Linked DNA regions of Cricetulus griseus. The protein of the gene in region 1 binds, or shares a complex with, the protein of each later gene. Links are inferred from orthologs where the notes say so. Each region holds a gene or a part of one and is shown in the gene's direction. Other genes may lie near its edges. The genes, in order: Timm10b, Agk, Timm22 and Timm10.

What was found.
Region 2: Timm10b (region 1) and Agk share a complex: the UniProt entries of both Homo sapiens proteins name them as parts of the TIM22 complex. The link is inferred for Cricetulus griseus from reciprocal best matches to the Homo sapiens genes TIMM10B and AGK.
Region 3: Timm10b (region 1) and Timm22 share a complex: the UniProt entries of both Homo sapiens proteins name them as parts of the TIM22 complex. The link is inferred for Cricetulus griseus from reciprocal best matches to the Homo sapiens genes TIMM10B and TIMM22.
Region 4: the proteins of Timm10b (region 1) and Timm10 are in contact, whole or in part, in a cryo-EM structure (PDB 7CGP), measured with the Homo sapiens proteins. The link is inferred for Cricetulus griseus from reciprocal best matches to the Homo sapiens genes TIMM10B and TIMM10. Residues at the interface, in NP_036324.1 of Homo sapiens: Gln7, Leu11, Leu14, Arg15, Phe17, Leu18, Leu19, Tyr21, Asn22, Arg23, Met24, Thr25, Glu26, Cys28, Phe29, Val33, Pro34, Ser35, Leu36, His37, His38, Arg39, Leu41, Glu46, Leu49, His50, Ala53, Gly54, Ile57, His61; in NP_036588.1 of Homo sapiens: Ala6, Leu9, Leu13, Glu16, Met17, Asp20, Met21, Arg24, Ala28, Lys32, Cys50, Asp52, Arg53, Cys54, Ser56, Lys57, Tyr58, Asp60, Ile61, His62, Glu63, Arg64, Met65, Gly66, Lys68, Leu69, Leu72, Asp76.

Annotation. Positions count from the first base shown.
Region 1 is NC_048596.1:94,060,037-94,067,480, reverse strand, and holds Timm10b (mitochondrial import inner membrane translocase subunit Tim10 B), read left to right. Parts: upstream 1-2,922; 5' UTR 2,923-3,028; coding exon 3,029-3,058; intron 3,059-3,205; coding exon 3,206-3,301; intron 3,302-3,464; coding exon 3,465-3,641; 3' UTR 3,642-3,665; intron 3,666-5,467; exon of another isoform or gene 5,468-5,699; 3' UTR 5,700-5,794; downstream 5,795-7,444. Other genes in the region: Arfip2 (arfaptin-2), read right to left, coding at 319-540, 713-831, 1,495-1,591, 1,811-1,909. UniProt on the Homo sapiens protein: Component of the TIM22 complex, a complex that mediates the import and insertion of multi-pass transmembrane proteins into the mitochondrial inner membrane.
Region 2 is NW_023276806.1:187,840,810-187,848,291, reverse strand, and holds the start of Agk (acylglycerol kinase, mitochondrial), read left to right. Parts: upstream 1-3,241; 5' UTR 3,242-3,363; intron 3,364-6,318; exon of another isoform or gene 6,319-6,383; intron 6,384-7,243; 5' UTR 7,244-7,249; coding exon 7,250-7,350; intron 7,351-7,482. UniProt on the Homo sapiens protein: Lipid kinase that can phosphorylate both monoacylglycerol and diacylglycerol to form lysophosphatidic acid (LPA) and phosphatidic acid (PA), respectively. Does not phosphorylate sphingosine. Phosphorylates ceramide.
Region 3 is NC_048600.1:89,853,390-89,860,884, forward strand, and holds the start of Timm22 (mitochondrial import inner membrane translocase subunit Tim22), read left to right. Parts: upstream 1-3,214; 5' UTR 3,215-3,253; coding exon 3,254-3,491; intron 3,492-5,808; coding exon 5,809-6,005; intron 6,006-7,081; coding exon 7,082-7,154; intron 7,155-7,495. UniProt on the Homo sapiens protein: Essential core component of the TIM22 complex, a complex that mediates the import and insertion of multi-pass transmembrane proteins into the mitochondrial inner membrane. In the TIM22 complex, it constitutes the voltage-activated and signal-gated channel.
Region 4 is NC_048599.1:90,701,763-90,709,125, reverse strand, and holds Timm10 (mitochondrial import inner membrane translocase subunit Tim10), read left to right. Parts: upstream 1-3,534; 5' UTR 3,535-3,685; exon of another isoform or gene 3,686-3,781; intron 3,782-3,833; exon of another isoform or gene 3,834-3,947; intron 3,948-4,095; 5' UTR 4,096-4,134; coding exon 4,135-4,205; intron 4,206-6,741; coding exon 6,742-6,943; 3' UTR 6,944-7,173; downstream 7,174-7,363.

The DNA of each region.
Region 1 (7,444 bases):
GACAGGAACAGGGAAAGCTAGTGCAGCAGGCAGGGGAGGGACTCTGATTAGGCCAAGCACCAAAGGCATTCTTGATGATATGGAGAAGGGTTACTTGTGAGGCACCAGAGCGCCCTCTCCCACAACCCCTCCAACTTTTGGACCTCTGTACAAACCCTTAGGCTGCCTCCATAGGTGAGTGATGCTGGGGGCAGGACTGGGCACACCCCAGAGGGGTTCTCCCTGGGGGCTGCAGGAGGGAGGGAGGGAGGCTGAGGAATGCCTGCCTGGAAGGGCCAGGGCCCAGTACCCCCACCCTCTTTGTTTTGGCTGAGGCACCTGAAGCTCTGGGGACTTCTGGCTGAGGTCAGCAAAGGCATCCCCTAGTGCATGCTGGGTCTGCAACAGGCTGTAGAGGTGGGCTGTCAGTGCCCGGCCCAGCTGAAGGACACTTTCATACTTGCGCTTCGTCTCACGCAGCAACTCAATCTGCAGCTCTAGCTCCAGATCCACAGTCCGGGAGCCTCGGCCAAATCTCTCTGATAACAGCTGCTTTGTGCACTGATTGGGAAGTGGGTGGGAGGTCAGAAATCTAAACTCCACCCCAACCCCGACAAGTAACTACTCCAACACCCCCATTCTCTTAGTCATAGCAAAAGACTATGTATTAAGATCTGGGGAAAAGGAAAAGGTACCCATGGAGAGTTTCTGGGAAGAGGCACTCGACTCTTACCTTATATGTGTTGATGCCCCATTTCTTGACGATGTCAAACTTCTCTCCGGCGATGCCCCGGGCCACCTCATCACCAGGGCCAGAAGGTGAGGTGCTGTGAGATGGATGGCGGCCAGACCCTAAAGGATCAAGTTCTCTAACACCAATTTCTCTCACATACAATCAGATACTTCTGTGACCTCACTTCCTTCCCTCCCAGCACATGAAATGACCTCTCTAAAAGAGGAAATCTAGATAACTGAATTCTTCTGCTCATTAGGGGGAACGGGGACTTAGGTCCCGAAAACCAAAGCAACTCAATGTATGTATTTGGCATTCCTGGGGTCGTGTAGGAGTGTTGTTGGGTGGACAGGGAAGGAAGAAACAGAAGCAAACATGATGAGTGGGACTGGAAGGGTCAAAGCTGGTGGGCACAGAAAACAGGGAAGCTGGTTTGTATTTCCAAGTAGAATTTTAGTCAGTATAAGACTCTTATAAAACTCTGAGAAGCTTCACAAAGTTGTAAATCAGCCTTAAGCTGCAGAGCTCTTGTGACTTATAGGTCTTAACTTGGCTCAGGTGGTGGCACCAGGGAAAGAAAAGACAATTGAGAAAGCTAGAATCTAAATGGCAAGTGGGAAGCAGATGATGAGCTCAGAGAGCTGATCTGGGATTGGACAGTCTATGGATTTCACACTAGCAGTTCTCAAGTTTCTCCAATCCATGATTCACGCTTTCCTATGTGTTCTATGTGCCTCCTAGTCTCCCTCCCACTCAAGCCTCCTGTCTCTTATCATTCATACCTGTGGGGATGAGTCCATCACCAGAGCCCCCATAGCCACCAGACACAATGCTAGTTTCATTGAGGTTGGGTCCTGACACCATCACCTGCTGGAGGTCCTATAGATCAGAGAAGAGGGGGCACTTCAGGAACATGGGGGTGGCTGAAATATTTTGGGGATAGAGACAGTATATAGTAAAGTCTGTATAGAATCATAATGACGACTTGAAAACTATAAGGAGGACTAACTAAATGAAGTCTATTGGGATGGGAAAAGCGAAACATTCAAGAGTCAGGATTGCTAAATTGAAACAATTAGAAGAATCAAACAGAAGCACCTGCTCCAGCCCATCGTCTTCAGGAAGCTGCCCAGCTTCACCATTTCCATGGATTGGGATCTCCATTGTGGCTGCCTTCCCTAGGATCCCGTCCGTCATGGCTAGGGAAGGTACTGGAGTCAAGGTCTCCACCCCAGCACGCTGTAAAGCCCAACACAGACAATTCTGGAAACTGGCCAGCACTCCAGAACAAGGAGGCCTTCCCTGTGTTCTAATAGGTTTCAGGGGTTGTCTGTTAGGACTTGGGTGTCCCTGGAGATCAGCCCCTACTTTCCTGGAGATGTGTATTTCTTCTCTTCCAAGTACATTATTTCTACAGATGCATGTATACCAAAGCCTTGGGTGTCTTCTCACAAACCCCAACCTCACCTTTAGTAACCTTTACACATTCAGTCACTCAACAAACACTTAGTGAGTGCCTACTATGCGTCAGATACTGAGGCAATGGGATTACAGCAGTGAGGGCCAGAGGGGAATGTCTGTGCTCTTTGGGAACTTGGCCCTGCATAGGCATGTTTACCAGAAGGCAAAACCCTTTCCTAGACTCGGATGCTCACTTGCCACTCAAGCATGCTCTGCAATCCCTGGTCTTTCAAATCCTTTGATGTTCCTTCCCCTCTTCCTTCAAATGGTCTCTCCTTTCTCCATCTCATGCACCTGCCTCCCTCAGGCCCTCCCCACCAGGCCTTAGTTGAAGCAGCTGGTGTGTTCCCGGTGTCAGTTAAAAGCTTCTTTCCCAGGACACAGGCAGTCCCTTCCAAAGTCAGTTTATGCCTTCCAGATGTGAGAGGTCCCCTCCACCACCCCCCCACACACCTGGGCATCAGGTGTGTCCTCATCCTTGCCAAGGGCTCAGGGCATCTTGCCCTCCGCACAGGTTCGTGCATTCAACTTCCTTTCGTACAAGTATGTCCTTCTCACCTGGGCCGGGCCACTCTTCCCCTCAGGGCGCGAGGGCCGGACCGCGCGGGGACCTCGGGTTCCAGTTCCCGTCGCGATCTTAGCAGCAGGTCAGAGATTCGGCGGAAGTGACGTGCCCTCTGGGCAGAAGAAGCCGGCCACGTCGCAGAGCAAAAGGGCGGAGGTGACGTTAGCAGACATGGGCTGGGCGATACTGGAACCACGCCTTGAAGCTCTTGGTGACTAGGGAGAATTTACTTCCGGGGTGACTCCGCGCCCCCAGGGAGGAAGTAAAGTGGGCTGCGTGCCCCGAGCGTGATGGAGCAGCAGCAGCAGCAACTAAGAAACGTGAGTAAGAGCTAAGTTGTTCTCGGGGTTAGACGTGCGGTTTGTTTTCTGGGGTACATGCAAGAACCCCCAGTGGGGAAGGCAGGCTGCACTGCGCACGCCAGGAACCCTCAGCGGTGGTGAAGCCTTGATCCGCTTTTCTCTTAGTTGCGAGATTTCCTGTTGGTCTACAATCGGATGACAGAACTGTGCTTCCAGCGCTGTGTGCCCAGCCTGCACCACCGAGCTCTGGACGCTGAGGAGGTGGGGACTGTGGGGACCCCAGAGGTTGACAACGTGACGTGTCCACCTCCCACCCCCCGTTTGCATCTCGGTCTCCCATGACCTCACCCCTAGGCTGGGGCCCCGGAGAGGAGGGCTTGACAGGACCCCTTTTGGTCTCTGCTTACCTCTGTCTTCCTTCCAGGAGGCCTGTCTACACAGCTGTGCTGGGAAGCTCATCCATTCTAACCACCGCCTCATGGCCGCTTACGTCCACCTCATGCCCGCCCTTGTCCAGCGCCGCATCGCGGACTACGAGGCTGCCTCGGCCGTGCCAGGTGTTACTGCAGAACAACCCAGAGACTCGCCATCAGGCAGCTAGCCATCGCCTGCCCCAGGAGAGAAGGTGCTTGGATGGGCTCCTCTATGAACCTTGGGCTTGTCGAAATTTGTACAGAAAGATTGAGCCTGAAAGCTGGGCACTATTGCTCCTTTTCTTGGAGCCAATAAACCGGGTTTTTACTCTGGTTGATTTTCTGGGCAGGAATTTATTTATGTCCACTTATTGGTACCAACCTTTATTCTGCCATTTAGTGCCTATCTTCTCCCCTCAGCCCTGGCAGTTGAGAAATTGCCTTCTGTAATGTAGTAGGACAAACTCAGCATTCTCAGATCCCCAGCAAAAACATAGTTTTAAGGTTAGTAATAGCAATGGGAAATTGGTTCCAAAAGGGGAGCTCTCAGTGGCTATCCTTGAGCCTAACTCAAATGCCTGAATATATATTGCATAATAACTAGTTTTCTTCTGAGCTGTAATACAAAAAGAATTGTGCTGCATCTAGGGGAAGAATGTGATATCAGACAACAAGAGGAAGAAGAAAACAGCACCACAATAGGCTTTAGCCACCAATTCTTAGGAGATCAAAGATAAGCCTGTAAGAATGTGGGAATATTGTCTAGAATTTCAATCATTTCCCCAGTTTACCATCTTAAATATTTCCTGTCTTTGTGAAATCAGCAATAAGGACTTTAAACAAAGAAGGGTTTTCTTCTTGTCTTCAAGGCAAGTCAGAAGGCCTACATTAGTCAAATCTAAAGAAGAGAAATCAAAGGGAAAGGTAGATGGTGATAGAGGGGTGGTTAAATATAATCTGTGTGGCTCCTAATGCTTCCTTAGTGTTTCACTGTTTGTCTGGAATCTCCTAATTCCAGCTCTCTACCTTCCATCTTACATTGTTCTCAACCGTAACTGATCCAGCCTCTCTATTCTTGTTTTGTTACTGCCCCCTCATTTTGTGGGGTTCACATCTGTATTCAGGAGGATACCTCCTTTCCTGGCCCTGCCTTTTCCGTGATGTCATCTCCAGTATGAGGACAAGGAAGGAAGGAGGAAATGGCATATACTACCATGTGGGGCTTCAAGGATAATGGCAGGATGCAGGGCAAGCAACAGTATGGGATGTGCATTTGTTATTGTTGTTTTACTGGGGGTTCAACTCAAGGGCTTGTGCATGCCAGGCAGGGACTCTTAACAACCTAAGCTACCCATTACCTCTTCATTGCTTAATCCCATCCCATCCTTTCACGTATGGCAACAGCTTTCCTTTTTTACCAAGGAATTAAATTTTAAAATCCCAGCCAAAATCAACTATTTACAAAGCAGATCCCCCCCCCACACACACACCTACAGGTCATAAATATGCATTTTACTTTTTTATTTTTGAGATTGGGGAGGGAGGTCTCAAAACTGACATGTAAATCATAATAACTAAAGATGACCCTGAACTCCTGATCCTCCTGCCTCTACTGCCCAAGAGCTGGCCAGCCAAAAAATTGAAATAGTGGGCTTCGTGTTAAAACACAGCTCTTGCTCTAAGCCTTGTTATGCATGCCTACAAGCCCAGCACTTCACAGATTGCGAATTTTGTGTTTGAAGGCAGCATATCAAGACCCTATTAATAAAGTGCAGTGGGGCGGTAAGCCCCATATTCTTTTTACTACAGCAGGCTGCCTCTCAAAATCATGTCTGTTGAGTATGTTGCATAAATTTATCTTATTTATTCATTTTATTGCAAGCCTAGGAGATATTATTTCCATTTAACAGGTAAAAAAGAACCCAGAATGCATGAGAGCTCTGTCTTATACACAGTTCTTTGAAAACAGATTCTAGTGTGTCACTGCTTTTCCCTTTTTGTTTTTTTATTTTAGGTGATTTTGCCATGGGGTCTATTGGCCTTAAACTTGAGATCCTCTTGTCTCAGCCTCCCAGGTACTGAGATTACAGACATGGGCTACAACGGTTGCTAGATAATTCTTTAGGAAGATAAAAATTGCTGACAAGGAGCTTCCCTATAGAGTGACCTCAGGTCTTCCTGACAGAATTCACTCTTTGACAAGTATAAATGTAAGGAATGCATCATGTGAGCTTCTTCATTTCCAGAGACAGGAAGGTGGAGACCCAGGATATTGTGTTGCTGCTGGGAGAGTTCTTCTGCATCAGTTTATGTATCCTTTCAATAAAACACGTACTGTGAATTGTCTGTGTTTCCTTTCTTCCCATGTCACATGGTTAGTAATTGCTGGGAAAAGACTAAGAAACAGATCTATTCAAAGCCCACTCTCTTTGGAACTACCTGAACTTTTTTTTTTTTTTTTTTAGATGGTTTTACTGTGCAGTCTCACCTTGAATTCAAATCCTTCTGGCTTTTTACTTCCTGAGTGTGGGGAGCACACATGTGATCACATGTGTGCTCCCCACACTCAACCTACATACACTATCATCTTTGCACAGTCTGCCTTCAGATCAAAAACAAATGTGCCTCAATCTGACCTGTCAGTCCTTTTCTCCCTTTAGTCTCTGCTCTGGTTTCTCTCCTTAAGAGAAAACCCATTCCTACTGTCTCACTTTCTATAGTTGCTGGTCTTTTTCGGGTCTTGTCATAAAGTGATAGTCATTGGCATGGTGAGAGCAGTATTCTTAGGCACAATATACAAGAAAAGTTTGGGATTTTTTTTGGTTTTGGTTTGTTTTGGGGGGGGTAGAGGGGTGGGGGGATTGTGAGAGGTCAAATTCAGGGTTTTCTACACACTAACAAAGGGCTCTACCATTGACCTACATCCCCGGCCCAGAGGTTACCTTTGACATAGCCTTACCACATCACAAACATTGGAGGCTGAGGTGGTGGTCCTGTCATTGTGACTTTAGAACTTCACTGCCTGTTCCTTGGCCCAGTCTATTGATTTAAAGCTGTTCATCCATAAAGTCCTCTACCTGTTTTACTGTTCGCATCAACTCTTCTTTGCCTCCCCTCTAAATAGCTCTTGTACTTCCTATCCACCAGTTAATGCTTTGATGTTTACACGGTCCATTCAGTAGTTAGGATCACTTAATTTCTTGATCCAATATCTAATGGTTTCTATTCTGTCTTAGCTATCCATTTAGTTGTGTCTTAGATATTGTCATCATTCTAAACCACTCAATCTTCAAAATACTATTACTAAATCAAGTGACAAAACACTATTTCTTGAATTGACTAACCATATTCCTTCTGCTTGGTTTAGTAAGTCACTGTCCCTACTATCATTAGATTTTTTTGTAGCTTTAATATTTTTTTTCCCTCAGTAACACTTGCCTTTAAATTTCTAGCCAGCTTAACCCCCAATGGTTTTCTTGCTATAAGCTGATATTTTTGTGCCCTGCCCCCTTATGAAACATTGTCTGCATTTGAATAGTTAAATGTTACTCAGCGAGATCACCATAGAGCATATTTATGCCACTTTGAATTCGTAGTTAAGTTCAAATGGAATCTTAGCTCTCACACACAAGTGTGTGTGTGTGTTACAGTTTGAGCAGGTTATCACTCTGTAGCCCTGACTGGCCTAGAACTTCTGAGATCTTCCTGCCTCTGCCTCTCAAGTGCTGGAATTGAAGGTACGCACCACCACATTCAGTGATTCTCTGGTTTTTTCTGCTCCCCTAAGTAACTATTTTAAGTTGGTGTTTGTAACCCTCTTGGCCCTGTTTTCTTTCTGTCAGCCATATTATTCCTCCATGAGGAAAACAAAGCTGTAGGTAATCTCTAGTATTCTACTGCTGACTAGCCCATCTGCATCATTCCCTTTCCCTTCTAAATAGGGAGAAACCCTCTTATCTAATGCTAGTGCCCATTCTTGGGTGTTGAGTCT
Region 2 (7,482 bases), on another chromosome or scaffold:
CAGAGGGTTCTCCAAAACTCCCATGCAATGATATGGAAAATATTCTGTCTCCTAGGAAGCCATTGGTTTCTTGAAAGGCCTCATTTACATATTTCCAATCTGGTAGCTGTAGATTCAGTGGATATTAAAGGTCATAATAAGGAAAGGATTTTAAGCATAAATACCACAAGAACATGCTTCATTTTTTTTTTTTGCAGGAAACACAGAGTCTAAAGAAGTATCTGTGTACATTAAGTGAGTAAATAACCCGAAGTGAATGTTAAAAGAATTTGCTCACATTTTCCATGATAAGAAGCACTGACACTGGGGAGCATCTGCTCCCACTACAGCATTCATCCAAAGAGATACAGGAAAGTCTACCAACAGGCACACACGCATCCCAACACCTTTTTCCTGGAACTCTTCCCCATCACTGATAAAGCATCTATGGAAATGAGCACAGCCCAGGTCCGGGAACAATCAAAATGACTGGAGAGTGAGTCAAGAACAGTAGAAGGTTAAGCAGAACTCTGGTGTCTGACAGCTATTTCTGCCACTGATTTTTCACTTATTTCTTACCTTAAAGCCTCTACTTGTCCTCACTCTGGCCACCAACAGCCTGTGGTTTATAAGCTGTCGATTGGTGCTCATGGATCCTGCCTTCAATCTAAATAGAATTCATTATTTTGCATACTAGGGTGTATAGAATTTTGGCACAATCCCCTCACAGACTGGCCACTTGGTTCCATGACATCATTGAGGATCCTGGTTCTTTCTTCTCTGATCCTCTGTGAAGTGGCTCTGGCTCAGGCCGGCTCCCTTCGTGGATGAGTGATGATGGCATCAGTTTCTGACATTGTATAGATATTTATGATTTGTGGAGCAAAATGTGGGACCGTCTTTTTTAAGATTCTTTTTTATTTTGTGTGTATGATTGTTCGCCTGCTTGCACATATGTGCACTGTGTGTGTGACTAGTGCCCATAGAGGCCAAAAGAGAATGTCAGATCCTTGGAGCAGCAGTTACAGGTGGCTGTGAACCACTGTATCAGTGCTGGGGAAACAAGTCTGGGTGTGCTTAACCACTGAGACATCTCTCCAGCCCCAGAACCATCTGTTTTCCTTTCTCTGCTCTTCTTTCCTTTTCTTTTTTTGCATTTCACCCGTTTAAAGTTTGTGATTCGCTAGTGTTAATATAGCCACAGAGCTGTGTAGCCAGCACCACGTCCATATTGAGACCATTTTCCTCTATATCCATATTGAAAACAGTCACTTCTCAATGCCCCACCCCACCATCAAATCCTTTTCCATCCCTACGTGTTTTCTAGTTCTGGATGTGTCGTGTGTGCACAGTCATATAACATGCAGTCTTGGACTGGCTTATTTCACCTAGCATGATGTTCTTAAAACCCATCACCACTTCCAGCAGCTTCCAAGGAATAATTTTCCTGCTCTTTGAGAACTTCTTTTAGTGATTTGATACTGATCAAAGAACACAGGGAAGGAAGAGCACGCACCAAGCCCACATTAAGGTCCCAAGTAACACAGAGAGACTTATATTAGGTACAAATGCTCCTTGGCCAATGACTAGGATTCTCATCTGCTAGCTCAGTCTTAATTATCATAAATATATATTTTATAAGACTTATTTTATGTAAGACGCCTTCCACTGGTGTCCTCATCCCAGGACCACATGGTGGCTCAGAGCAGAGAGAAGGAGGAAGAGAGAAGGGAACGACTTCCTTCTTGCCCTTACTTATATATGAGTCTCTCTGCTATGTCACTTCCTGCCTGGATCACCACTTCCCAGAATCCTCCTTGACTCCTAATCCCGCCTAACTTGTTGCCTCATTGGCCAAACAGTACTTTATTTATCATCCAATAAGACAAACGCATACACAGAAGCACTTCCCCCATCAGACATCCTAAATTATGACTTTATTTTATTCTGTGATTATAAATGTTCAACTAACCTCTTCCATGGTGGAACATGCCATTCAGGGCAACTTGAATCTGTCTCCCAAAACTATGGCCATTCATATTTGGCTCAGAATAAATTCACTTCCTGTTGACTTTCCCTAGGGAGACAGCAGCAAATGATTCTCTCCAGATGGGGTGACAAGGACAGACTCAAAAGAAATGATTCCACTGAAGTCTAGATTTGTGAACGATGAAATTGATTGCAGTTACTTAGAGCAGCATGGGTGAGGGGTGGCCTGCAGGAACACGGGCAACACACAGGAGGCAACACCACTGAAGTTGCTGTCCCCTCAACACTCCTCAGACCCTCTGGCCCGAGCAACCTTAACGTGCTTGTATAGGCTGTGGAAGAGGCAGGCCACTGGGGATCACATGCCAATGGGTCGGATCTGGTGATGATCTTGGGTGAGTAAATCACAACTGTTCTCATTGCCAGACAGCCATGGCCATGCAGATACAAATTCTTTACAAATGCCTTGGTCTAAGGCAAACAGAGGGAACGCAGGAAAGCTGCCCTGCATCTATGTGCCCCTTCTCTTCAGCTCAGTAGTCTTTATATTTTGAGGAGACACATTTTTTTTTGTGTTCCACACCTCTCCTGCTTCGTTGCTCTCCCTGGCTCTCTCTCTCTGTGTCTCTGTCTCTCTCTGTCTCTGTGTCTCTGTCTCTCTTTCTCTCAGATCTCACACTGGCCTAGTGCTCCTTCTTTGCTCTCCCTGTTTCTCTCTCTCTGTCTCTCTGTGTGTCTCTCTCCTCTCTCTCCCTCTCCCTCCCTCCCCCTCCCTCCCTCCCTCCCTCCTCCTCCCTCCCTCCCTCTCTCTCTCTCTCTCTCTCTCTCTCTCTCTCTCTCTCTCTCTCTCTCTCTCTCTCGGGTCTAGTGCTCCTCTGATTCTGAGCTTGATTCCTCTCTGCCCTGCTCTCTCTTTTGTACATCCTGACCAGATAGATCCTCTTCTTCCTGATCTTGGGGAGCTCAGACTTTCGTTTTTTCATTTAACACAGTCCCCTCCCTGGCCACACTTCCTATCACACTCCCTATCAACTGGTTTTATTACCACCGTCTGAACCTGTCTGGTTCCCGTGATTACTTTCTGACTTAGTCCCAAATGCTAAAAAATTGTGTGTGTTATTTATGGTGAGCTTTGCGGAAACGATGGGCTGGCAACAGGCAGAAGGAAGGAAGGAAGGATGGATAGATGGATGGATGGATGGAATGACCCCCTAAGTGAGAGACAGGGGAGGTAAGAGAAGGGAGAGCGGCGGCTGCTCCCAGGTCCCTGCAGGGCTCCGCCCGGCCCCGCCCGCCCCGCGTCGGAACCCGAGGGCGGCAGTAGCGGTTTCCCTCCAGCGGGGAAGGGTTTCGAGAGAGCACACAGGAAGGCCGGGCGCGGGGCGGCGGGCAGCGGTGAGTTCGGGGAGCGAGCGCGGGCCGCTGGGCGTGTGGGGCCCGGGCGTGGGGCGTAGCCGAGCAGGGTGTCCCGGGAACCGGCCTGGCGCCCGGGGGTCGGCCGTACCGTTGCTGGCTGCGGCGTGGGCGGGAGGGGGGCCCGGGCGGGGTCCCTGCGAGCCAGGTGTGCTAGTTCGAGTCCCAGAGCTGAGCCTCATCCCTGCCCCCCCATCCCAGTCAGGCGCCCCCCACCCACCTGGACGGTGGGGTACCCCGGAACAGCAATACAATCCATGGTACTTGATGGGCGGGTCGGCTCGCTCATTCATTCATTCATTCACTCACTCACTCACTCACTGGGCTCTGCTAATGGAGATGGCTAGAAGCTGCCCCAGGGAGCTCTGCTTTAGTGGGCAGAGCCTCACCTTCCTTGGCAGGAGGGAGGCTGCAGTTAGAATCTGGGAGCTTATGGGGCTGGGGACCACCTGCTTTACAGGCAGAGCTGTGCTATTTAAACGTAAAATGGAGACATTTTTTAAACTGACGCTCATGAGAATGAAAATTCTGGCCACTGGGTAGGAAATAGATAACTGTTCGTGTAGTACGTATTCGTGAAGATAGCTTAAATACGGAAAAAATTACGGATTTTATTCACAACCCCGTCATAGCTGATCTTCACAGCCAGATTAAGTATTTGGGGCAGATGGTGTTTCCTCGTTTTACTAGTGAAGTTAATCGACTTACCCAGGGTCTCACTTACCTGTAAGGGACAGAAGCTAGGATTTAGTTCAGGCACCTTGCACACCAGGGTGTTTGTGCATTTCCCTCGTCTTTTAATTATATATGAATCATTTATGACAAAAAAAAAGGGAGTTTCATGGGGTAAGGGAGGCTTTTTAAAAGACAGTCCACTCAGAGTGCCCTTGACTTAACAAGTGTTCTTCCCGGTCTCCTCTACTTGGGTAGTTTTAGCAGCTCTCACACTTTACCTTCACAGGTATGAGCCGCAATTCTGTAACTTGTCTTCAATTTCTCCTATTTCCAAACAGCCAAGTCCAGACACCTGTTTGGCCTCCACTTGAGTGTGCCTGGCGGGTGTAACAGGCTAGAGTCTCTTTAGCTGCACTCTGTTTTCCCACAAACCTGCAATATCAATCAAAGGCGTGAAATCACGTTGCCCAAGCACAAAACCTGGCTTGTCTCCTCATCTCTTACCCCTTGGAATCAGCTGGTCACCAAGCACTGCCAGACCAAGACCTCCAAATCCTTTGTTGACTCTTGTTCCTCCTTTTAGTAGCCTAGAAATTGTGGCACCCACCCCCCTTCCCTGCCACCATGGTTCTCTTCAGAGTTACTTTCAGGTTCTAGCAGTGTGTTTTATATTCTGCAGCTCAAATATGATTATGTCATTTGTCTGCTAAAAAAAAAATCTCAAGTTCTCTCTCTCTTTTCATTGTCTTCATAATATCCAAAGCCCTTGGTTTGGACTCCAAGTATTCTTCCTTCCTTCCTTCCTTCCTTCCTTCCTTCCTTCCTTCCTTTCTTTCTTTCTTTCTTTCTTTCTTTCTTTCTTTCTTTCTTTCTGTTTTTTCAAGACGGGGTTCTCTGTATAGCTTTGGAGGCTATCCTGGCATTTGCTCTGTAGATCAAGCTGGCCTCGAACTCACAGAGATCCGCCTGTCTCTGCCTCCCAAGTGCTGGGATTAAAGGCGTGTACCACCAACACCCAGCAACTCAAAGTATTTTCAAATCTTCCTGTTACCCCCATCTTTTATCTTTAAATTACTATTTCTCAAAGTCTGCTATGTTTATCACGTACAATTATGGAAGTAACTGTTAACTAAAAACACAGGGGGCTTTGGAGAGGTAATAGCCAAGCATATATATTTCCAGCAAATTTTGTGCATTCGAATAAGGTCTAATAAGGACCCTAAAGGTTGAGAGCCAGTGTTCTAGAAGCTATCCTGTATTTATGCTCTCTTGATGGTGCTTAGGGCATGTTAATCCCCATAGAAGTACATTGGCAGTTGAGGAAACAGTAGAAGCAGGAAACTGTTGATGTTCTAACCTGAATCGGGCTTCCGGTATAAGGCCCTCATGTTAGAAGTGCCTGTCTTATGCATGCAGGAAATGAGCACTTTTATTTCTTAAGGTGAGGGGATACTGAAGGACCTGAACAAATAAGACCTTGGTGATTATTGTCTTTAAGTCACAGCACCTTGTTCAGTCATGTTTCTGTACAACTTTCCACTCTTCATCAAATTTAACATACACTGGATTTTATTTCTGAAGGTGTTTTTTTTTTTTTTTTTTTCCTCGTTGTTTTGAGACAGGGTTTCTCTGTGTAGCTTTGGAGCCTATCCTGGCACTTGCTCTTGTAGACCAGGCTGGCCTCGAACTCACAGAGATCTGCCTGCCTCTGCCTCAAGAGTGCTGGGATTAAAGGCATGGGCCACCAACACCAGATTTGGTGTCTTCTTCTTAGAGAGTTGCTAATCCTGTTCATGGGGACAACACCCTTATAGCCCCATTATTTCTACATCCTAATAGCAGTCCAGTTGGAATTAGAACTGCCACTTACAAGTTTGGAAACACAAATGCTCAGGCCATGGCATATTCCTAACTCCTTCCCTTTGTGACTCCTCTGAATCTGTAGGGTTCTCTGGGTCCCTCAGGTCCAGCCCAGTTAGGCCCATGTCTTTACCCCTGAACATTTATCTGACTGTCCTGCGACCTGGCTCATGTGGTCATATTGCACTTGGGGATTTACTGATTCTGAGCATCTGAGAGTGAGGCTTCCCTCTTCCCTGCCCTAGCTCTTAACACAGGGCAGGTGCTGTCTATCAAAGACCTTGTGAATGAGTGTCTAGGGCCAGATGGAGAGAAGTCAATAATTCCATGGGCCTTTGGGTCTTCTGTACTAGTCTGAATGGCTTCTTCATTGATGTCTGCAATGTGGATGTTTCTTCCTAGGGGAGGGATTTTAACCAAGGGAAGTTAAAGGAAGAAATAATTTTTTCATCTGTTTAGATAATAATGTAAGTAAAAACTTAACATTGCATATATGTGCATATATGTTGTAATTTTAAGATGTCATTTACCAGCCTACAATTTAGAGGGAATTATGTAAAACTTTCGCTTTTGTGTATCGGTATTTTGATTGATAGTCCTATTTGAACATAATTGGTATAACACTGATTATAGATGTCTTTTATCCTGCTAATTTTACTTACATTGTATTTTGAGATTTTTTTCTTTTCTTTTTTTTGTGGGGGGAGCAGTTTTGAGACAGGGTTTCTCAGTGGCTTTGGAGGCTGTCCTGGAACTAGCTCTTGTAGACCAAGCTGGGGTTAAAGGCCATTGCCTTTAATCCCAGTACTCCGGAGGCAGAGGCAGAGGCAGGTGGATCTCTTGTGAGCCTGGTCTACAGACCGAGAGCCAGGATAGGCTCCAAAGCTACACAGAGAAACCGTGTTTCAATAAACCAAAAAAAAAAAAGAAAAAAATAAAAAAATAAAAAATATTCCTTACAGGAATAGGCAAGAATATCTTTCTTTTTGTATTTTGTTATCAGTGACTATGATAATATAAAATTTAATTTTATATAAAAATAATAATAGCTCTTTGTAATTTGCATGTCTTTGATTAGTGAGCATTTTTACTTAGCCATGTGCATTGGGTTTTTTTAATGCATGTTCTTTGCTAATTTTCATATTGAAGACCTGATAATGAGACTTAGACAGGAAAAGACGAGAAGAACCACAGCAGACGTGGCAAAGAGAAAAAGAGAAAAGGAAAAGGGGGTGGGTTGGGGGAAACCATAGAGGAATGAATAATAGCATGCTCCATGATTATCGTGGGTAAGTCTCTTTTCTTTCCCTGCCTATTAAATCTGTAGGAGAAGATGACTGCGTTCTTCAAAACACTCCGAAATCATTGGAAGAAAACTACAGCTGGGCTCTGTTTGCTGACGTGGGGAGGTCACTGGCTCTATGGGAAGCACTGGTAAGTAATGATAGTCCTACCCCATCCGCACCCTACCACAGAAAGATCCAAAGGGCCTGTGTTCAAGGTTTGTCCAGCTGTACATCTCCACTAAACATGGTTAAACAAAGTTATTCAAGTAAAAAGCAAAGG
Region 3 (7,495 bases), on another chromosome or scaffold:
CCAGTTCTGCTTATCTACAACAAATCAGTGAGCTAAGCAGCATCTGCTGGCACATACCTTCTACCTGCCAGAGGACTTTGAAACTTTCCATGGCTACTATAGCCATATGCAACTCACACCCATATGCAAAACTCTGCGCTCAGCTTGGACTTTCTCTCTCTCCCTCACCTTCCCCTTTTAAAGCATGAACTCTATCTGTAGACCAGGCTGTCCTCAAACTCACAGATCCACCTGCTTCTGCCTCCTGAGTGCTGGGATTAATAGCGTGCACCACCACTGCTAGTCCAGCTTAGACTTTCTCATTCCATCCTAACTTGAGCTGTTTCTTTTCTTCCTCAGCTCCAGCAGCAGACAGCACCCAAGAGAGCTACAGACCAGCTAGGGTCTTACAGATACCGGGGAAGCCATAATTAGGCTTTCTTCTAATTCAGCACATGACCCCTGAGCTGCTATCTTGAGTCTTCTGACAGAAGAGTTGTCATCAGCTCAGTGTTACAACCTTCCCTGTAAATCTAAGTCATCTCTAACTTTCACTGGTTCACTCTGACCCATGGTGATAAGAGCCTAGCTCTTGTGGCCAGAACAGACAATGTGAGGAGAGGGGGAAGAACCTGACAGTTGCTGGGATCACAACCAGGTTACAGTCGGATGAAGTCCCCAGATGTCCCATAGGTAAGTAAATATAGGAAATAATTTCTCCCATTTGGGGTATACTTGGCAGAGGCTCAAGTTTTCCATCAGATGAAACCTATTCCACCGTTGGATAGTGATGGGAGAAGGAGATAGCAGATCAGTCTAACGGCTCCCCATCTATGATCTTGGCTAAGGGTAGTTCTACAAAAGACTTACTCCCTTCTGAGCTTGGTCCATAGGGAGTTTCTCCATCTGATGGCTCCTGGTGGCTTGGGTTCTCCCTGACCCTTCCTTCGGGATTTTACTGTTGGGCTTTAAATGGATTGCTGGATTGGCATTTTATTTTATTTATGTTTTAGTTCTGGAGACTGAACCCATGGCCCAGGCATGATAGGTAAGAACTCTACTCCTGATTAGCTCTTTAGAACATTCTCTGCTTCTCAAGGCCTGGGAGACTGCCTCAACTTCTCCTGGATCCAACTTTGACTCTTTTCTTTCTCTTTCTTCCTTTCTTCCTTTCTTCCTTTCTTCCTTCCTTCCTTCCTTCCTTCCTTCCTCTCTCTCTCTCTCTCTCTCTCTCTCTCTCTCTCTCTCTCTCTCTCTCTCTCTCTCTTCCTTTCTTTTTGTCTGTTTTTCAAGACATGGTTTCTCTGTGTAACAGTCCTGGTTGTCCTGGAACTTGCTCTGTAGATCAGGCTGGCCTTGAACTCACAGAGATTCACTTGCCTCTGCCTCCCGAGTGCTGGGATTAAAGGTGTGCGCCCTTGCCACCCAGCTCCAACTCTGACTCTTAAAATCTTAGCCTGAACTGGAGTCCTGGGTCACCTTTGTTTAGAAGTGACTAAATATTAATCAACAGAGGATGGATGGAACCAGGAAGAACAATAGCAGAGCCTCAAAGTTGATTACAAAGAAGTGTAACTGGGGAGGCTGCGGCAAAAGTGGGAGAGAAAGCACAATCGGAGGGAAGAAATCAGGCTGGAGAGACTGCACAGCAGGTAAGAGGACTTGCCGTTCCTCCACCAAATTCACTTCCCAGCACGAATCCGATGCCTTACAACCACTGGCTCAAACCCACCCAAATTCCAGCTCCAGGTGATCTGATGCTCTTTTCTAGCCTCCATGGGCACCTATACACACACACAAACACACACACACACACACACACACACACACACACACACACACACACAGCACACACACACACACACTGTAATCTTTCAAAAAAAAAAAAAAAAAAGTACTGATAAAACATCAAAGGAGGGCTGGAGAGATGGCTCAGCGGTTAAGAGCACAGACTATTCCACCAGAGGTCCTGAGTTGAATTCCCGGCAACCACATGGTGGCTCACAACCACCTTGAATGAGATCTGGTGCCCTCTGCTGGCATGCAGGCAGAAGACTGTATACATAATAAATAAATAATTTAAAAAAAAAAATCAAAGGAGAGAGGGGTCCCTGTGTCACATGCAGCTGAGAAGTTTAGAAAAAATGATTGACAGCTAAGAAACCACTGGAGAGCCATGTGGTGGTGGGGAATCTGTGAGTTCAAGGCCAGTTTGGTCTACAAAAGGAGTTTCGGGACAGCCAGGACTGTTTCTCAGAGAAACCCTGACTTGAAAAACCAAACCAAACCAAACCAACCAACCAACCACTGGAAACTTAGCGTGCTTGGTGGCCTGGTGAGGGCAGAAACAAGAACAAAGAGGATTTTAGACACCAAACGTGCATCTGTAATGATTTTTCTTTTCATGAGTGTTTCGCTTAGCTAAGAGAGACAAATAAATTGCCAGCCTGGTCTGACTCAGAATCACAACTACCACAATTCCCAATATTTATTTATATATTTATATATTTTGTTTTTTCAAGACGGAGTTTCTCTGTGTAGCTCTGGGTGTCCTGGAACTCACGCTGCAGACCAGGCTGGCCTCGAACTCAGAGATCTACCTGCCTCTGCTGAAATTACATGAGCCACCACCACCCAGCTCATTTATTGGCCCTTCTTTCTCCTCAAAGGTTTAACTATATAATAAAATGTCTATTGAACATCTTCACGCCATGTTTCAACATTTGCTTATTACCATTATTTGATCTTAGAATACCAACCAGCCTGTAGTCCTAGCTGACTGAGGCAGCATGATCACTGTCACTTGGCGGGGCAACAAAGCGGACACGCACGCCTTCTGCTGGATACGTCACAAACTGCAGCCTAGCCAGAGCCGGGCCTGCCTTGGTTCGCTTCTCAGAAGAGCTTCTGAGGAAGCCGTAGGGTTAGTTCGCGCATAGCTTTCTGGGAAATGTAGTTAGATGTTTGAGTTAGAACTACAAATCCCGGCACGCGCCGCACTGGAGCTACCTCGTTGAGGGGGGTGTTCTGGAGACCCCGAATCTTGTTTGTCAGTGCTTTTAGCAATGCCTTACAAACTTGACTCGGTGTTTACAGGAGGCTTTGGGGGGAACATTATAGCTGCCTTGACGCTGATGCACAGGCCGACTTTTGCTTCCGCCGCTTCCTCATTGTGGCGAATCTGCCGCTGCGGCACTATGGCTAGACACCTAGGGAAGCATGTGGAATCGGCTGTGGCAAGTACGACGCTTAAGGTTCTGGGTCCCTTACGGTCATGGCGGCTACTGCCCCCAGTGCCGGGGCTTCAGCTGCGGAGTCGGCGACTTCCGCCGAAGCTCCGCTGCAATACAGCCTTCTTCTGCAGTACCTGGTGGGCGACAAGCGTCAGCCCCGGCTCCTGGAGCCTGGCAGCCTGGGCGGGATCCCGAGTCCCTCCAAGAGCGAGGAGCAGAAGATGATCGAGAGGGCGATGGAAAGTTGCGCCTTCAAGGCTGTGCTAGCCTGCGTGGGAGGTGAGGCGAGGCTCGTGGGACCCTTGGGAGGCTGAGGGCTTGGAGGGCCTTGGGGTTCCTTGCCAAGACCACGCGCCTGGGAGGCGAAGGACCTGTGGGTCTCGACCTTGATTGCTCCCCGACTGGCTCAATGAACCCGAAGATGCCGCTCTTGATCCTGGGGTTAACATTCACAGTTGGGAGCTGGAACGTTCGAGAATCAGTTAAACTACGGTCAGGGCCTGCAGATTGTTAAGTGGATGCTTTCGTTCATTCATTCATTCATTCATTCATTCATTCATTCATTCATTCATTCACAAACTAAGCAACTGTCGTGTGTTAGGCAGTGGGACTATGGATGAAAGTGACAAGAGCCCTGATAGAGAATTTCTAGGACCCGGGCAGAAGAGTGCTGTAGACACATAGGGAATTGCAAATGCAAAGGTCCTCAAGTCAGAGAAATTTGAAGTTAATTCCAGCACTCGGGAGGCAGAGGCAGATGGATCCCTGTGAGTTCGAGGCCAGTCTGGTCTACAGAGTGAGTTCCAGTACAGCCAGTTCTACATAGAGAGACCCTATCTAAGGGGAAAAAAAAAAAAAAAAAAAAAAAAGGCCACTGTAATTAGACTGTCGGGGTGGGGTAGGATAGAACATAAAAACAAACAAATACACACACTTCCAGTGTGCAGGTAAAAAGGTTGACTGTATTTGTGGATGAGTTTAAATTTTATTGGGAATGAAAAACATTTGTGAAATCCAAATAGCAGGAGTTCAAGTCTTAAAAATTGAGGATGAAGAGGCAGTCAGATCTGAGTTCCAGGCCAACCTGGTCTATATAGTGAATTCCAGGACAGCCAGGGTTACATAATAGAGACACTGTCTTCAAAAACAAAACAAAAAACTGACCAAACAAAAAGCAAACCTTAAATGTACTACAAAGAAGAGAGAGTTTTGGAGCTGGAGTGATTGGAAAGCAAGACATTTTGGAGAGGGGAGATAGAGTCTAGTTTCATTGAAATTAATTACATTGATTTTTTTTTATTTTTTGAAATTACATTCATCTTGAGGTGATGAGAAGACATCCATACAGAAATGGCTGGGGACAAAGTGCAGTTGATAAAGTGCTTGTCATGCAAGCTTGAGGATCTGAGTTCAATACCCAGCATCCTGTAAAAAGCCAGGTATGGCTGGGTGAGGTGGCCCAGGCCTCTAATCCCAGCACTAGAGAGGCAGATGGATCTGAGTTTGAGGCCAGCCTGGTCTACATAGCAAGCTCCAGGACACCTACACAGACAGACTATATAGGCTGTGTCTCAGAAAGATAGACAGACAGACAGACAGATAGATAGATAAATAGATAAATGTCAGGCCTGAAAATGACTTGTAATCCCATTACTGGGAAGACAGGCAGACAGATCCTTGGGGCTCAGTTACTAGCCAGCCTAGCCTAATCAGTTAGCTCTAGGTCCATTGAGAGACCCTCTTTAAAAAAGAAAAAAGTGGCCAGGGGTAGTGGCACCTGATTTTAACCCCAGCACTCCAAAGACAGGCAGGTAGATCTCTCTGAGTTTGAGGCCAGCCTGGTCTACAGAGTAAGTTCTGGGACTGCTAGGGCTATTACACTGAGAAACCCTGTCTTGAAAACAACGAAAGAAAGAAAGAAAGAAAGAAAGAAAGAAAGAAAGAAAGAAAGAAAGAAAGAAAGGTGGATGGTTCCTGAGTAGTGACACCCCAGGATTGAACTCTGGCCTACACCCACACCCACACAAAGAAATGTTCAAGGTTTAGACAAGACATTTGTTGACAGCAACCTAGGATTTCCCACATAACAGCCATGCGACTTTGGACACAGTTACTTAGCCTCTCTAGCTTTGGTTTAGAGAGGACAGCTGGGTGGTAGTGACACACGCTGTTAATCCAAGAACTTGGGAGGTAGAGGCAGGTGGATCTCTTGAGTTTGAGCTAGCCTGTTCTACAATAGCAAGTTCCAGGCCAGTTAGGACTCCATAGTGAGGTCCTGTCAAACAAACAAAACAGCCACAAGTTATTGTGAAATCTAGAGTATTTCAGAATATGTGGTAATGCCTACCAAGAGACTGTTATAGATATTGGCATGGTTAAGGGAATGATACACAAAGTTGATAAGAACTTGAGGGTGACTGGTCTATAGAGAACAGAGGGTTAAAGCTCAAAGGCTGGGAAATGAAAGGAAGAAATCCTAGGAGAGTCAGGGGGATAGACTCTGACTGGAGGAAGCAGGATTGAGCCATCTTAAAATATCATCCCAAAATGGTAGTCCAGAATGTGCAAAAGAACTCTTATCTCTGCTTGCTTCTAGGATTTGTCTTGGGAGGTGCGTTTGGGATCTTTACTGCCGGCATTGATACCAATGTAGGCTTTGACCCTAAGGACCCTTACCGGACACCAACTGCAAAAGAAGTTCTGAAAGACATGGGACAAAGAGGAATGTCCTACGCCAAAAATTTTGCCATTGTGGGCGCAATGTTTTCGTGTACTGAGTGTTTAGTAGAATCTGTAAGTGTCTCTTGCTTTTAAGAAATCCCTGTCTGAGCCTAGCCATGGTGGCACACACCTTTAATCCCAGCACTTGGGAGGCAGGGGCAGGTGGATGTCAGATGTCTGAGTTCAAGGCTAGCCTGGTTTACAGAGCTAGTTCCAGGACAGCTAGGGCTGTTACACAGAGAAACCCTGTCTTGAAAAAAGAAAAAACAAAACAACACACACACACACACACACACACACACACACAAAATTTGTGTGTCTGAGCATTTTGCCTGCATGTATGTATGTGCACCATGTGAGTGCCTGGTGCTTGAGGAGACCAGAAGAAGGTATTTAATCCCTTGGGACTGGATTTACAGGCAGTTGTTAGCTGCCATTTGGGTCCTGAGAACTGAGCCAGAGTCTTTCTGGAAGAGCAGCCAGTGCTCTTAACCACTGAGCCATCAGCCTCCATTATACAACTTTGAAAAGAGCAGTGTTCTTAGTGTTCTTCCTGGAATGCAGACTAGAAATGTCAGGCCTTAGTCAAATGTGATCTGTGTTCACAACTTCAGCCCAAAGGAGCTGAAGAAGAGGAGCATGAGATCTGGGCCAACCTGGGCTACATAGAACTTTGCCTCAAAGCAGACATTTAAAAATATCACATTTTGGTCTAGATTAGTCCCTAGTGTGAACTTTGTACATATTTATAATACGGGATTTGCTTTTTTTTTTAATCTTCTATAGGCAAAATGATTTTTTTTCTTATTTGGTGCTGGGATTGAACTTGAGGCTTTATGCATAGAGGATGTGCTCTACCACTGGGCCACATCTCCAACCCAAGTAATTGTAGTTAATGATTTAAAATTATACTGGAGCACATAAGAAATTTGGATTATTTCCCAAATGCTAGACTTGACTTCAGCCCTCTGGTGCCACCTGCAGGAAACACGTATAAGCACATACAAATTTTCGGGACTGCCCTTTTGAAGTAAGGTTTTTTTCTCCTCTTGAATAGAACTAAACTAGGCAGCTGGAAGCCCTGTGTTTTCTTCCCTAGTCTTGTTGGCTCGTTTCCCTGGCTCTAAACAGCATTTTTCCACCCACAGTACCGGGGAAAGTCAGACTGGAAGAACAGTGTCATCAGCGGCTGCATCACTGGAGGAGCCATTGGTTTCAGAGGTTAGTAAACAGCTCTCGAGTGCTTTTCTTTTGTGGTCCAGGACAACGTGCTGATGTTGACATTTCCCAACATGAGTGTTCTAAGGATGCTTGATATTCTTCCCTCTGACAAATAAATCCTGGCTGCTTCTGTGTTGATGCGGTTCTGGAAACTTGCTTATATCCGTCTGTGTTAGGCTTTTTCATCCTTGGCACTCTATAGAGATTTTGGACCAGTTAAAATCTTATTCTGTCTTTTTAAAAGCTACTTATTTTTATTTGTATGGGTGTTTTGCCTGCATGTGTATGTCTGTGTACCACAGGTGTGCCTGATGCCAGAGGAGGGCATCAGGTCCCCTGGA
Region 4 (7,363 bases), on another chromosome or scaffold:
GAACACAAAAGAAGATAATTTTAGTGTGAGGAGATAGTAATCACATTAACAAGTAAAATATGTGATGTATTAGATGTGACACGTTCTATAAAATGAGGTGAATCAGGGTAAATGATAGGGTTTGTGTTTGTTTTGGCTTTGTTTTGTAGGGAGGAGAATGTATTTGTGATATAGGAATGAAGACTTCAAGTAAGTTTGGGACTGAAGCCTGTGACAGGGAGGGCCCAGCACCCTTGGCAAAGAGAATAGTAACTAGGAAGAAGGGGGTATGATTTATGTGTTTGGTAAAGAGAGAGGATATTAGCATGGCTGGGCAAAGCACTGGGGCAGGAGAACAGCTGGAAACAAAGGAAGAAGCTAGGGTTGGCAAATCATGTGGGATAGGTACTAATGCATGCTGGTTATCTACTTGATAGGACCCAGAACCTCCCAGGCAATAAACCTCTGGGCTTGTCCATGAGCTAATTCTATATTGGGTTAACTGAGGTGGGAAGCCCCGCCCTCAAAATTTGTAGCAGCTTCCCTTGGACAGGGATAGCTGACTGAATAAAAAGAATAACATGAGCCGAGTAACAGCATTCTTCTCTCTGCGTGTCTTGACTATAGTCAGAGATGTGACTGCCTCCAGTCACACTTGACTATAGTCAGAGATAGCTGCCTCCCATTCCTGCCACAATGCCTTCCCTGAGTTTATCTCCTGAACTGAAAGCCAAGGTAAACCCTTCGTCCTTTAGGCTGCTGTTCTCAGGTAACAGATCACACCAAGGAAAAAAGGTCATACAGAATCTTAGCTATTGAGAAGACTTCGGCTTTTGCTCTATGATTAGAAACCACTGTAGTATTTAGGAGGTGAGTGACATGATCTAATTTTAGTTTTTTATATCATGTTAGCTGCTGTTTTGAGAACAGTCAGACTGAAATATCAGCAGGAGTAGGGAGAAGAGCCAGGAGACTACTTACTACCTTGGTGATTCAGTACAGTTTGTGATGGTCTGGGCCAGAGAGTCATCAATAGAGGCAAGTAGAAGTGATGGGGAACAGCCACAATGGAGACAGTGGTGAAATCTGGGTAGGCTTTCTACTTAAGTTAATGGGATAGTCTCTCACCTCCTGCTCCTCTCAGGACAGTCCAGGGAGATATCTATCTTTGCTCTCTCGGAGTCTTTTATGAGTGGCAGGTCCCAATGAGGAGATCCTGCATTCCTTTCTTTGGGGCTGGAGTCCCATCCAAAGAGGTAGTACTGTCCCAGAGTGAGTGACAAATACAGAACCTTTCTGTGAGGATTGGAATAGATTGATTAATATATTCTAGAGGTCTTCTGTGCAATGCAGTGCATATAAATAGCAATACTATACTGGACAAATAAGTGTCTTATGTTAAATGTGTTATGATAAAGTGCACGGAGAACCTTGGCGGATTCCATGGCTGGTAAGGGTGACTGAGGTGGGGGACAAACATGCCAGGCAGATAAAGCTTAGTGAGAAGTTTTATTAGAAATGAAAGGGGGGACGAGAAAAGGGGGAAAGAGACACAGAGAGAGGACAGAAGAGAAGAGGTTGACAGGAAAAGTCCTGTCTGCCCAGAGAGAGAGAGAGAGGGAGAGGGAGAAAGGGAGAGAGGGAGAGAGCACACATACATGGGCAGGGGTCTTCTTTTAAAGGGGTCCTTTGCACCTGCATGCAGACTACGGAACCACGGAACCCTGGGCTGACCAGGGTACTGCCTGAGTGCATTCTGCCAGGTGACAGGGGCAGGCCAGCATAATGCCTGAATCCTTATAAAATGTTCTAATTACAATTAAAAATACTCTTTTGAGGGGTTGGAGAAATATTTGCAATAGGGCTGGGAAAATAGCTCAGGTGGGTAAAGACCTTGCTCTGCAATAGTAACACCCCAAGTTAAGATCCCAGGACCCATGTAACAGCAGAGATGCAGGATGGGTCCCCAAGCCCAGGACCCCTACAGTGAGATAGGAGGCAGAGATAGGCAAACCCCTGGAAGCTTTCAAGCCAGCTAGCCTGGCATAAGTAGCCCAAACACAAGAGCCCCTTTGTCAAACATGGTGCAAGTTAAAGATGGAAGCCTGAGGTTATCCTCTGACTTTCACATGTATGATGTGTGCACTGCCCCACATACAACATAGAAAGATAGCTAATTTTTAAAATCTGCCATAGATTACATTAAGAAATAATTGGGCTGTTAAGATGGCTTAAAGGTAAGGACGATTACCATGGCACTTGACAACTTGGGCTTGATGGCTCTGGACCTATGTGGTGGTGTTGTGCCCAAATTCTGAAGCCCCAAATCACCAAGAGACCCATTCCAATGCAAAAGCAAAGAGTCTTTTATTGTTTAACAAGTTAATTGTCTTAACTCTGGCCCTTTGTGGGTTCATCACATCAGGTGGAGTAAGAAGGACCCAGAGAAACCAAGTTGGGGGGAAGTGTGCAAGGGGAATGTCTAGAACTAAGCAATGGGCTTCCAGGCTTGGGTAACCTGTCCTGTGTTGGTCAACTGGTTGTTATGGCCTATAGGCCCTCCCAGGGTGGTTGCTATGCTCTGCATGGCACTGTTATACCTCTTTTACTATAAAGCACCACAAAGCCTAGAGCCCTCCAGCTAACTTCTGATTGGTTCCTTGCCACGTGGAGGGTATCTGACCTCCTAGTGACTAGGGCAGTTCCAGCATGGTCAGAAGGCCGGAATCTAAGCAACATGTGCTGAGTCAGAGGCTACATCTTGCAGGTTCTTTTCTGCAGCCTGTCATGCAGCTCAAAGCAGGGGGCTGGGTGAGGGTCAGATCCCTTCAGTGGAAGAACAGAATCAGCTCCCACAGGTTGTCCTTTGACTTCTACATGGGCCCATGGCACATACTTTTACGAATAAATCTAAAAAAGTATACCCAATGAGAGGTGTAAAAAAGACAGGGGGAAAAAATCACTATTAGCTGAAGATGTGAAAATAGAAATTGGGGGAAAAGACTTCATCGTTAAAGACAACAGATAAAGAAAATGTGGCTAAATTTTAATAAACGTTAAATCCTGGTGATAGCTATATTGATGTTCATTAGACTGTGTTTTCTTTTTTTTGGGGGGGGAGGTGTTGAGACATGGTTTCTCTGTGGCTTTGGAGGCTGTCCTGGAACTAGCTCTGTAGACCAGGCTGGCCTGGAACTCACAGAGATCCGCCTGCCTCTGCCTCCCGAGTGCTGGGGCTCCGAGTGATTTTAACATGCAACACTGACAGGCTCCTTTGGGAAAGATTCCCCCTTCTTCACACAAGAACTATCTGAGCTCGGACGTGGGCCCTCCTTAGTGCGTTCAGGAAGCCAAGCCCCTTCCACACCCCAAACACTCAAAACATCTCCCGGACAGCCCAAGGAACAGAAAGCTAACGGGGCTGCCGGCGCTCCGCCCCTCACTCAGGCCTCTGTGGCACTTTGGAGGACGCTCTAGCAAACTGAAGTCGTTTTCGCTTCGGCCAGGCGGTGGCCCCATCTCTATGGTAGCGGATTTCCCAGCGCCGCCGGGTAGGCGTTTTCTTCCGGATCAAAGAAGAGGTTGGACTTCCATCCCGGATGTGACCCACGTGCTTCTTATTTCTTCCAGCTGGGTACCCGGCAACTTTTTACTATTGACCCGAAGTTGCGGACCTCGAGGGATCTGTGACCTGCCCCAGGCCGTGGTGAGTGAGTCACGGTGTCTGACCCCGAGTGACCCCGATGATGGCATCGACATGACGGGCGCAGCCTTTGGGCCGGCTCCGGGAGCTTCGGTTGTGGTGAGGGTCGGGTTCTCAGGGCCGCGCGGGCCAGGCCCACGGTTTCGAGTGTTGTGTCCCTGGCGTCGATCCTCTGGCTGGGAGCGACGTGGAGGAACCGAGCGGTCCAGTCTCCGGGCCCGTGCCCGTGACATCCTGAGTGACCTTGAGCTGGGCACTGTCCCCTGTAAAGGCCTTATTTCCACTTCTGTTACGAGGGCTGATTACGTTTACTGAGGGCGGTGGTCCCTGCTGGTCAGAAACGCTGTCCTCCAGCCCCGGGACGTTAGGGTGAAGAGGGAGGGGTCGGTGCTGACGATCTTGTCTGCTCCTAGGAAAGACCAGGAGGCTGCTCTGCACGGTGCTAGGTTGACATGGATCCGCTTAGAGCCCAGCAGCTGGCTGCGGAGCTGGAGGTGGAGATGATGGCTGACATGTACAACAGGTAATGAGAACCACTCCACGATACCGAGTGTTGGAAGATTAGCCCGAGTCACCCTTACCATGACGGAGTCAAGGACTTGTAAGGAATGCTTTCCTTTAGGGAGTGGAGCCAAGTCCCAGCCCTCACCCTCTGCCCCACGCTCACCATGTGCTAGGCTAAACCAAATACAAGTCACTAGAAGGACTTGGCTATTTAGGGGGAGTAAGAGGGGCATGAAGGAGAATCTCCTGTTAGTATCTGGTGAGTTTCAAGAACAGGTAGTATTAATTTAAAAAACAAAAACAAAAACAAGCCGGGCATTGGTGGCGCACGCCATTAATCTCAGCACTCGGGAGGCAGAAGCAGGCGGATCTCTGAGTTCGAGACCGCCCTGGTCTACAAGAGCTAGTTCCAGGACATCCTCCAAAGCCACAGAGAAACCATGTCTTGAAAAAACCAAAAAAAAAAAAAAAAAAAAACCCAAAAAACAAAAAAAAACCCCCAAAACAGCCCATTTAATTACTTTTGTTTATGTATTTTGTGGTTGTTTATGAGTGCCACCCTGTCTGTCACAGCAGCACACTAGTGTAGGTCGGAGAACAACTTAATAGGAGCCCATCTTTCCTTCCAATGTATGGGTCTCAGGAACTGGACTCTTTTTTGTTTGTTTTTGTTTTTTTGAGACAGGGTTTCTCAGTATTTTTTTAGAGCCTGTCCTGGAACTCGATTGATAGACCAGGCTGGTCTCGAATTCGCAGACATCTGCCTGCCTCTGTCTCCCGAGTGCTGGGATTAAAGGCATGCGCCACCATTGCCGGCCGAAATGGACTCTAAAGATCTGGCTTGGCAACCTCTAATATTCTTTAAGCTTTTGTCTTTTGTTTGTTTGATTTATTTTATTTATTTTATTTTTTTGAGACAGGGTCTCATGATGTAATCCTGGCTAGCCTGGAACCTGCTATGTATACCAGGCTGGCCTTGAATTCACAAAGATCATCAGCCTCTCCCACTTGGGTCCTGAGGATTAAAGTTGTGCACATCTGGCCTTCATTAAACTTTGTGTTAGGCACTAGCAAAACATTTTACATATATTACCATTTTTAAATTGTTTTTTTCAAGTTTCTTTGTTTTTAGTTTATATGTGTGGATATTTTGCTTGCATGTATGTATGTATGTATGTATGTATGTATGTATACCACATGCCTGAAGAGGCCAAAGAGGGCATCAGATCCATTGGAACTGGAGTAACAGACAATTTTTGAGTTACCATGTGGGTTCTGGGAACCAAACCCAGGTCTTCTGCAAGACCAGTAAGTTCTCTTAACCAGGAAGCCATCTGTCTAGTACCCCCATTGTCACATTTTATTTTTATTTTTTTAATGTGTTTTTTTTAAAGATTTATTTATTTATTATGTATACAACATTCTGCTTCCATGTATATCTGCACACCAGAAGAGGGCACCAGATCTCATAAGGGATGATTGTGAGCCACCATGTAGTTGCTGGGAATTGAACTCAGGACCTCTGGAAGAGCAGTCGGTACTCTTAACCTCTGAGCCATCTCTCCAGCCCCACATATTATTTTTTAATATTAAAAATACTCACTGGGAGAAGAGGACCTAACTTTTGGCAGGGTGCTTTGCTAGAATGCAAGAAGCCCTTGCCTTGATACTGATGTGGTGCTTGTACTTTCAGCACTCAGAGATGAAGGACAGAGGATCAATAGTTCAAGGTCATCCTTGGCCACATAGTGAGTTTGAGGCCAGCCTGGGATAGATGGCATGAGTCTGAAAAAAAAAAAAGGAAATAAATTAAAATCAGTGGGTTAATTTTATTAGTGCCATTTTAACATCAGGGAATTGAGGTATCAAAGGATTTAGTAATGTCAGCATTCATAACTGGTCAGTAGCAATGTCAGAACCAATTCTTCAGACTGATCTCACAACTATTGATTGTAGCTGTTTGGCCAGTTTGGAAACAAATCCTGGTGCACCAGTCACCTGCTGAATATCTTTGGACAAACTGTCTCATAATTGATTGTATCATCAATAAAACTGACATAATAAACACTACTTCATGAAGACATTACTAATATTGAACATGGAAGCCTTTAGCATCAAGCATATCATTCAGGAAACAGTGAGACACCTGCTGGTTTTAGTCAGCAGAAGCTCTTTTTGTTGGTTGATTTATCTTGGAGGTCACCAATTACAATTATTATTATTATATTTGTTTTTTTTTTTCGAGACAGGGTTTCTCTGTGTAACAGCCCTGACTGTCCTAGAACTCGCTTTGTAGACCAGGCTGGCCTCAAACTCACAGAGATCAGCTTGCCTCTGCCTCTGCTGGGATTAAAGGCATGCGCCACCACTGCCTGACTTAAACAAGGTTCTTAATCTAAAGAACCTTCCAAGGTAGTTGAAGTGAAAACAGGATTTCCACTGTTTTCTTGGGAGAGGCGGTGAGGCCAGATCAGTAGAGCAGGGTTGGAGTTGTTGATGGGTCCTGGGATGTCACAGGAAGTTACTGATACAATCTTGTCCCTCTCTAATCCCAGAATGACCAGTGCCTGCCACCGGAAGTGTGTGCCTCCCCACTACAAGGAAGCAGAGCTGTCCAAAGGCGAATCTGTGTGCCTGGACCGATGTGTATCTAAGTACTTGGATATCCATGAGAGGATGGGCAAAAAGTTGACAGAGTTGTCTATGCAGGATGAAGAGCTGATGAAGAGGGTACAGCAGAGCTCTGGACCTGCATGAGGCCCCACGCAGAATTCACCTGGGGTGCACCTTGCCACATACCTTATTAAAGTGTTCCCTAGTGGGTATCATATGTGAAAACTGTCATACTTAGGCTCTCTGGAGCATCTCCAGGACCCCTGGGTGTGGTAGAGCTCTCCTGGCTAAAGAAGGGGACTTGTCACGCTGGTTTGTGACTGTGTATGTGTGTATATGTATATATCTGTATTAAAACAAATTTGTGCAAAGCAGTGTCTTTTGTATTTGATAGTAATGACTGAGCTAGAGTCTTGAACAGTAGACAGATTTTGATGTGGTGGGTCTTTGTGTTTGTTTTAGGACTGTAGACTAGTAAAATCAGTAGGTTTCTGTTCTGGGTGTCCCGCTTGCTGTGTGACCCTGAATGTGACGCATCTCTGTGCTTTAGTAGAGTGACTCCGG